Linked DNA regions of Arabidopsis thaliana. The protein of the gene in region 1 interacts with the protein of each later gene in a biochemical or structural test. Each region holds a gene or a part of one and is shown in the gene's direction. Other genes may lie near its edges.

Region 1 (3,684 bases):
CTTGATGGTGACCATGATTGTTTTATTGATAAGGACAATCTCATCAAATATGGTAATAATGCCCTTACCTACAGGATTGTTGATAGAATATTTTCACAGGTTGGTTCCCAAAATTGTTCCTGCCTAGACCTTCTTAAAAGCTAAGTTATATAGTATGATGTGATCCTTTTTATTTGATCTCCATGCGTCTTGTGGCTATGTTTCTCTTTTAGATTCCAAGGAAGTTTACGAGTAAAGTTGAAGGGAAGATGAGTTATGAAGATTTTGTGTACTTCATTCTCGCTGAGGAAGACAAGTCTTCCGAGCCTAGTCTTGAGTATTGGTACACATCTCCCCCTCCGTGTTGATATTGGTTTTCCTTAATGAATGTTGCCCCTTGGTTTAGATCACAAGATCTTGATATATATACTACAACGGAGTCAAAACCAGTGACTTGAGGACTTGTTACTTGTAACAAGTCCTCTTCCTCAGATATATTTAGTAATCATTGTATGGTACCATTTTTTCATGAACATAGGATCCTTGTTTATACTCGGGCACTAACAATCTAACAATCTGATACTAGTTTATAGCCTAGTATGCTCATCTATCTATTATGGATGTCAAAACTCAATATTTTTGCAAGTCCGTGTATTTTACTTGACACTGATTGAAATTTTCCGTGCAGGTTCAAATGCGTAGACTTGGATGGAAATGGGGTAATCACTTCAAACGAAATGCAGTTTTTCTTCGAAGAGCAGCTGCATCGCATGGAATGCATAACCCAGGAAGCTGTTCTTTTCAGTGATATCCTATGTCAAATAATTGACATGATTGGACCCGAGGTTAGTTACTTTACAAACCAGAACATGGTTGTTTGATTTTTCCGAGCTTTTTTGTTATTTATCATTTATTTGACTGGAATCATCTATATGGTGGATGTCCTTGCAGAAGGAGAACTGTATCACCCTCCAGGATCTGAAAGGATCGAAACTTTCAGCAAACGTTTTCAATATACTCTTCAACCTTAATAAGTTCATGGCATTTGAAACACGTGACCCATTTCTCATTCGCCAGGTAAGTTTGGCTTACCAGTGGAGTTTTTATAGCACTCAAGAGGGAAAAAAATAACAAAGAATATGACTTCTTTTAACTGCTAAAGGCAGTTTGTAGTAGTTCGGATTGAGGCAATTAGAACAAGTATAATTCTCTTTCATTGCTGTAGGAACGGGAAGATCCAAATTTGACAGAGTGGGATCGATTTGCTCAGAGAGAGTATGCGAGATTGTCAATGGAGGAAGATGTAGATGAAGTCTCAAATGGGAGTGCAGATGTCTGGGATGAACCACTCGAACCTCCATTTTAGTCCATAGTGGTAAGTTCACACTGCTTGTGTATAGGAAATGCAAATGCTTATAAAATTCTGTGATTTATTGAGTCGAAAGCCGATCTTGACTACAGAAACCAACCAAATAAGGAGACTTATGATTTGAGGTTTTCCCTGGAGAGAGATCCATGATCAGAGATTGGAGGTCACTGTTGGTTGTTACCAGACGCTTTCATCATCATTTCCAAAAGAGTCTCAGCCAAATTCATGAAATTTTTGCAATTTTGTTTTGGTTTCATTATAAAGATTATATCAAGTTGGGCCCTCTCTCCCTCTACATCATCTAGTGTCCATATAACCAGTTGGATTGTCCAACTCAGAATGTACTCATAAATCTGAATTGTTAAACTCTTTTAGTCTTTACTGTCACACGAATATATTTTCAGAAAGAAATCTGAATTGTAAATCTCTTTAGTTGCACTGATATCTTTTTCATAAAAAAAAAAAGAGAAAGAAATCTGAATAGTAAATCTTTTTTCTTAATTAAAAAGAAAAGAAAAAACATCTCCTTATAGTATAGTTGATAGAAGGTGCAAGTCACGCGTTTAATGTGCGCGTGATTAGTTAATTAAACTTGTATATAGAGAGTAAGCGCGTGGTTACATTGCAAAACACTAGAGATAACCCTAGAAAGATCTCTCTCGATCTCTGGTTCGAAGAAAATCCACCATTTCCGATTGTTCTTTCTCTTTGACAAAACCCAGATAGATAAAAATTCGTTCCAATTCCAGTGAGCTCCGGAAATGGCGTCCTTCAAGTTGATGTCTTCTTCCAATTCCGACTTGTCTCGCCGTAATTCTTCTTCTGCTTCATCTTCCCCTTCTATAAGATCATCGCACCATCTCCGACCAAATCCTCACGCCGATCACTCCAGAATCAGTTTCGCTTACGGCGGAGGAGTCAACGATTACACTTTCGCGTCTGATTCAAAGCCCTTCGAGATGGCGATTGATGTTGATCGGAGTATCGGAGATCGGAACAGCGTTAACAACGGAAAGAGTGTTGACGATGTTTGGAAAGAGATTGTATCTGGAGAGCAAAAGACGATCATGATGAAGGAAGAAGAACCAGAAGATATAATGACACTTGAGGATTTCTTAGCGAAAGCAGAAATGGACGAGGGAGCTTCAGATGAAATCGATGTGAAGATTCCAACGGAGAGACTCAACAACGACGGTAGCTATACATTTGATTTTCCGATGCAGCGACACAGTTCGTTCCAGATGGTTGAAGGATCAATGGGTGGAGGAGTAACGAGAGGAAAGAGAGGGAGAGTGATGATGGAGGCAATGGATAAAGCTGCAGCTCAGAGACAGAAGAGGATGATCAAGAACCGTGAATCCGCTGCTAGGTCTCGAGAGAGGAAACAGGCTTATCAGGTTGAGTTAGAGACTTTGGCTGCCAAGTTAGAGGAGGAGAATGAGCAGCTTTTGAAGGAGATTGAAGAGAGCACTAAAGAGAGATACAAGAAGCTCATGGAGGTTCTGATTCCGGTCGATGAGAAACCAAGGCCACCGTCGAGGCCCTTAAGCAGGAGCCATTCCTTGGAATGGTGAAGTGTGGTAAAAAAAACTTTTGTATGTAAAAAAAATAAAAACATATGGGCTTGATTACTATATTATAATCTATATAGTAAAGTGATGGTGATATGGTTAGTACTTAGTTACCTGTAATGTATCTAAGGGATGTAATGGATAATACATAGCTTTTTGCTGATTTATAAGATATCTATGGACCAGACTAGATGGGATAAATTCTTTTTCTCCCTAACAATTTTGTTGGTCGATTCAAATTAGAAAGTGGTTGGTTGTGTTTGATTAGGCAGGAGCAGAGAGTTCTTCGTCTTCTTTATTCTCCTGGCATCGTTTTAGCATCTCAAGTTGGCGTCGTAGATGCAAAACCTGTAACCCACCAAAGGAAAACGATTTAACTTAGCTGACTTTACTACATATTTCTCATCTAATGGATTCTGGAGTTCAGCCTTAAAAAAGAGTCAGCTTCAGAAGGTAATCCTCAGACTATATAACTGAGTTTCATTTCTGTTTCTTATCCTAAGAATTAGAAGATATATAACTCAGACTCCAAGTGAAGAGTTGGCTTAGTTATGTACCTCTTGTTGAAGCAAAGTCGGGTGGCTAACCATGGAAATGAGCTGTTTCATTTCTTGCAAAAGTGACTGGTCTTTGATACCTGACCACGTCTGTGGAGGTAAAGCCAACAGAAGAGCAGTGAACACATCGTTCCCGGATGGGTAAGCTACCACTGTCACTTTCTCCTCACCAAGACCTTGATGTAAAACAAGAAATTCAAAGAAAAAA
Region 2 (3,927 bases), on another chromosome or scaffold:
TTCCGGAGACAAATAAAGACGTGTTTGGCAAGAGAACCGTGGACGCTAACGTCGCAAAGTTTGCGCCATGTCGAAAATCCGATCCAATAGATTGCAAATATGGGCTTAGGAAAGGCATTCCAAGAGATTTGGCTAAAATAATTTAACACTACGTTTAGCACTATAGTGATAATTTTTGGGTAATAACAGTAAGTATTATAGATTTTGTTTAAAATTTCAATCTAAAATCCTAATTATTAGACCTGGAAAAATAAATTGAACCGAACGTACAGAACCAAATCCGAAGAAATGAAAACCGAGTCGGTACCGAACCAAAATATTTTGAGTAACCGAAAATATCCGAAATATAATTATCTTTTCAAAAATATTAGTTATTTTTTGACTAAATAGTAAAAATACTTGAAAATATCCAAAAAAAATCAAAAAGAACCGAAATATCCGAAAATATTCAAAGCAAAATAACCGAATGGATACTAAATATTTAAACCGAAAGAACCGGAACCAAACCCAAATTTCAAAATAAGCGAATAGATATTAAACATTAGACCCAAACAGATACGAACTGAAACTGAATGGATAACTGAACGCTCGAACTACTAAGTATATCTTAAATATTTTTAAAAAATATTTTAATACTAAAGGATACAAAAAATTATACTTTGTAGAGGGGATTTGATACTGCTGTCATATTATACGTTTTTTGAAAATTTTGAGAGTATTTGTTAGTCATTTGTTACCTAGAAAATCAATGATAAGACGACCGTCTGAAGCACGACCGGCTGGTTTCTTGAAATAAGTCATTCCCCATGGACCAGATTGGGCAGGAAAAGCAGCCCAAAATCCGCCAGTGTCCGAATTCGAGTCTCCGAAGTTGAAAATTGCTTCGAAATCACATTTTGAATCACCTTTATGCCCATAAAGCATCACAATAATCAAGACTAGAAGAGAGAACGATCTTCTTCTGTTTATATCGGAAGCCATGTCTATCTCTGTGTGAACAAAATGTGTGTTTGTATGTGAGAGTGAGGATGAGATATTTGGTGCTATATGATTCTTGTAATCATCCCGTCCGTGACTCTCACTCTCATTGTACGTGTAATTAGTGTGTTATAGCCTTAATGGTTTTTTTAGTCCAACAATTCCCTTTAAGCCCAATAAAAGATAAATAAAGCCCAATCTATTATATTGATTCCAAGGGTTCAATATATATGAGATATGTCTAACAATACATCAAAAGACCAGTTTGAATAACAACACATCAATTTATGGATTGGATATGAATAAGATGTCATGTATGCAACAACCAAATTTGACATTTCTCTTGTAATGCCTTGCAATAAAAGTTATTTTGTTAACTTTTTGCAAAGTATGTGCCAATCAAGAACAGGATAAAAAGGTTGGGTCTAATAATTCAACTACGGCCCAATAATAACCCAATAAAGGAGGGTATTAACGTAAATTTATGTCTTGGACCGGGAGTCTAACTGCACGCGTCAAGTGGCTCCCACTAGAATTGGCATCAAGAACACGTCACCTTGACCTTGTCGGATTTGTCTGAAATTGAATTCATTCTTTTTTTAGTGACTCTCTTAAATTGGAATTAGATCTTCAGTCTAAATCTTAATGATTATAAGAAACAAGATTATATGCATCATTTCGGATTTAAACAACATGGATTAATCTCAACTAATTTAGCATTAAAGATAAGATTTTGTTAACCCTTTTTTATTGGGTGGATCCTACGTGGCGAAGATTGAGTCATCGTCTAAAATTTTAAAAAAGATTTCAAGAAAAAATTAAAAAATGAGCTGGCGTCGAATCCCACGTTGTCCGTAGGGACCACAACGGTATTCCTTATTCAGTGGGACACGTCAGCTTTATAAAACCACTAACGGCCGACACAAGTCAGTAGATCCTACAGTGGGGACCACTCTAACCTTTTTCTGGTTAAAAAAAGATATATTTTACCGTAGATGAAATCAATATTAGCCGTCGATTAAATGGTAAAAACAAATATGCTTGATTTGGTAGTCCACGTTTCGTCATCTGTGGATCTCAAATGAATTATACATTATAGTTTAATTCTGTATTTTCATTATTTAAAAGGAATAAAATCAGCAGCACGTCAAGTCTACGTAGAGATCTCAAGATGAACGGTGGCGATTATGACTACGTGTACCAATCATTATTTAAGTCAGATATTTAAAATGTCCAGCGCAGATCTAGGGTTGCCAGCTCAGCATATGCGTTCCCTTTGCAAACCCTTCAAGATCATGACACGTGTACGGTGACGTGTTCATCAGCCTCTTGGCGCTCCGTTGTGTCTCTCTTCTTTTTCTTCTCTTCTCCTTCCTCTCTCTTCTTTTACCGAACTCTGGTTCTAGAGAGAGAAACCATTCTCTCCGACTAAGAGAGAGAAGCGAATTTGTTTTTTTTTCTTTTGTGGGTTCAATTCGAATTGTTTTCCCTGAGACTCAAGGTACGTTTTTGGATTTTGGTTTTCGTTATTTTCTTCAATGAATATCTGAGTGATTATATATGAACGCTCTGTTTTCTCGAGAAAGTGTGTATTGAGTGAAGAAAATTACTAGGAAAGTTAAAGGTAGATTGAATTGTGTAACTCTACTAGTTGGTGATAGTTTTGAACTTTTGACAGAGGAAAAAACTCGACTTTGAATCTTTTACTGGTAGATTCAGTGGTGCTATACTTTATAGTTACTCGGATCTCTGTTATATTTATAGTTTGATGTCCACAATTGCGAGATCTAGGTGTAATTGAATACTGTTCTTTTAGATTTATGCTTTACAGAGGAACTGCTAAAAGATCTGATCATTTTTTTGTTTATAAAGTTACTGTGTCATTACTCTGCATTGAGCAATGGGTAGCAACGAAGAAGGAAACCCCACTAACAACTCTGATAAGCCATCGCAAGCTGCTGCTCCTGTAAGTAATGGAATCAATGGAAACTGATTGGTTTAGTAACAGATTTGTGTTTAGTCAAAGTTTGATTGTTGTTGTTGTTTTACTTTGTATATATACAGGAGCAGAGTAATGTTCATGTGTATCATCATGACTGGGCTGCTATGCAGGTGATTTTTCTTTGACCTTGTTTTGTTTCTGCTGTGTGAATTGTGTTTTATTAGCCTGAGTGATTTTAGCTTGTTTCTCATGATATTTGTAGGCATATTATGGGCCTAGAGTTGGTATACCTCAATATTACAACTCAAATTTGGCGCCTGGTCATGCTCCACCGCCTTATATGTGGGCGTCTCCATCGGTACTTATATTAAACTTGTTGAATGTATATCTGTTACTTTGGATTGAGTTTGATCTTTCTTTGTTGTTGTAGCCAATGATGGCTCCTTATGGAGCACCATATCCACCATTTTGCCCTCCTGGTGGAGTTTATGCTCATCCTGGTGTTCAAATGGTAATCCTCCCTTCCTTTTAGTGGTTACTTTATATCAACAAATAGTTGAAAAGACCAGATTTACTGATTTGTGTTTTCCTACTTTACTTTACCAGGGCTCACAACCACAAGGTCCTGTTTCTCAATCAGCATCTGGAGTAAGTCAATTGTCTTGTGATGTTTCTGTGTGAAATGTGCAGTATGATGGATATTGGATATGAATGTATGAGAATGTTTGCAGGTTACAACCCCTTTGACCATTGATGCACCAGCTAATTCAGCTGGAAACTCAGATCATGGGTTCATGAAAAAGCTGAAAGAGTTCGATGGACTTGCAATGTCAATAAGCAATAACAAAGTTGGGAGTGCTGAACATAGCAGCAGTGAACATAGGAGTTCTCAGAGGTTTGTCAAACTAGCCTCAACTCTTTCTTATTCAATAGATACTTAGATATATAGAATCTAACGTGGTTTTGATATCAACTAGCTCCGAGAATGATGGCTCTAGCAATGGTAG

Evidence for each region.
Region 2: the proteins of GBF4 (region 1) and GBF2 form a complex in vitro, tested with the Arabidopsis thaliana proteins (one study listed by BioGRID).

What each region holds. Positions count from the first base shown.
Region 1 is NC_003070.9:1,016,128-1,019,811, forward strand, and holds GBF4 (G-box binding factor 4), read left to right. Parts: upstream 1-1,972; 5' UTR 1,973-2,109; coding exon 2,110-2,922; 3' UTR 2,923-3,120; downstream 3,121-3,684. Other genes in the region: AT1G03960 (Calcium-binding EF hand family protein), read left to right, coding at 1-99, 213-322, 668-824, 931-1,056, 1,205-1,345; PCS2 (phytochelatin synthase 2), read right to left, coding at 3,184-3,267, 3,477-3,652. UniProt on the Arabidopsis thaliana protein: Binds to the G-box motif (5'-CCACGTGG-3') of the rbcS-1A gene promoter. G-box and G-box-like motifs are cis-acting elements defined in promoters of certain plant genes which are regulated by such diverse stimuli as light-induction or hormone control.
Region 2 is NC_003075.7:482,922-486,848, reverse strand, and holds the start of GBF2 (G-box binding factor 2), read left to right. Parts: upstream 1-2,324; 5' UTR 2,325-2,479; intron 2,480-2,850; 5' UTR 2,851-2,878; coding exon 2,879-2,944; intron 2,945-3,042; coding exon 3,043-3,090; intron 3,091-3,182; coding exon 3,183-3,278; intron 3,279-3,350; coding exon 3,351-3,431; intron 3,432-3,526; coding exon 3,527-3,568; intron 3,569-3,651; coding exon 3,652-3,815; intron 3,816-3,897; coding exon 3,898-3,927. Other genes in the region: AT4G01130 (GDSL-like Lipase/Acylhydrolase superfamily protein), read right to left, coding at 1-132, 738-981. UniProt on the Arabidopsis thaliana protein: Binds to the G-box motif (5'-CCACGTGG-3') of the rbcS-1A gene promoter. G-box and G-box-like motifs are cis-acting elements defined in promoters of certain plant genes which are regulated by such diverse stimuli as light-induction or hormone control.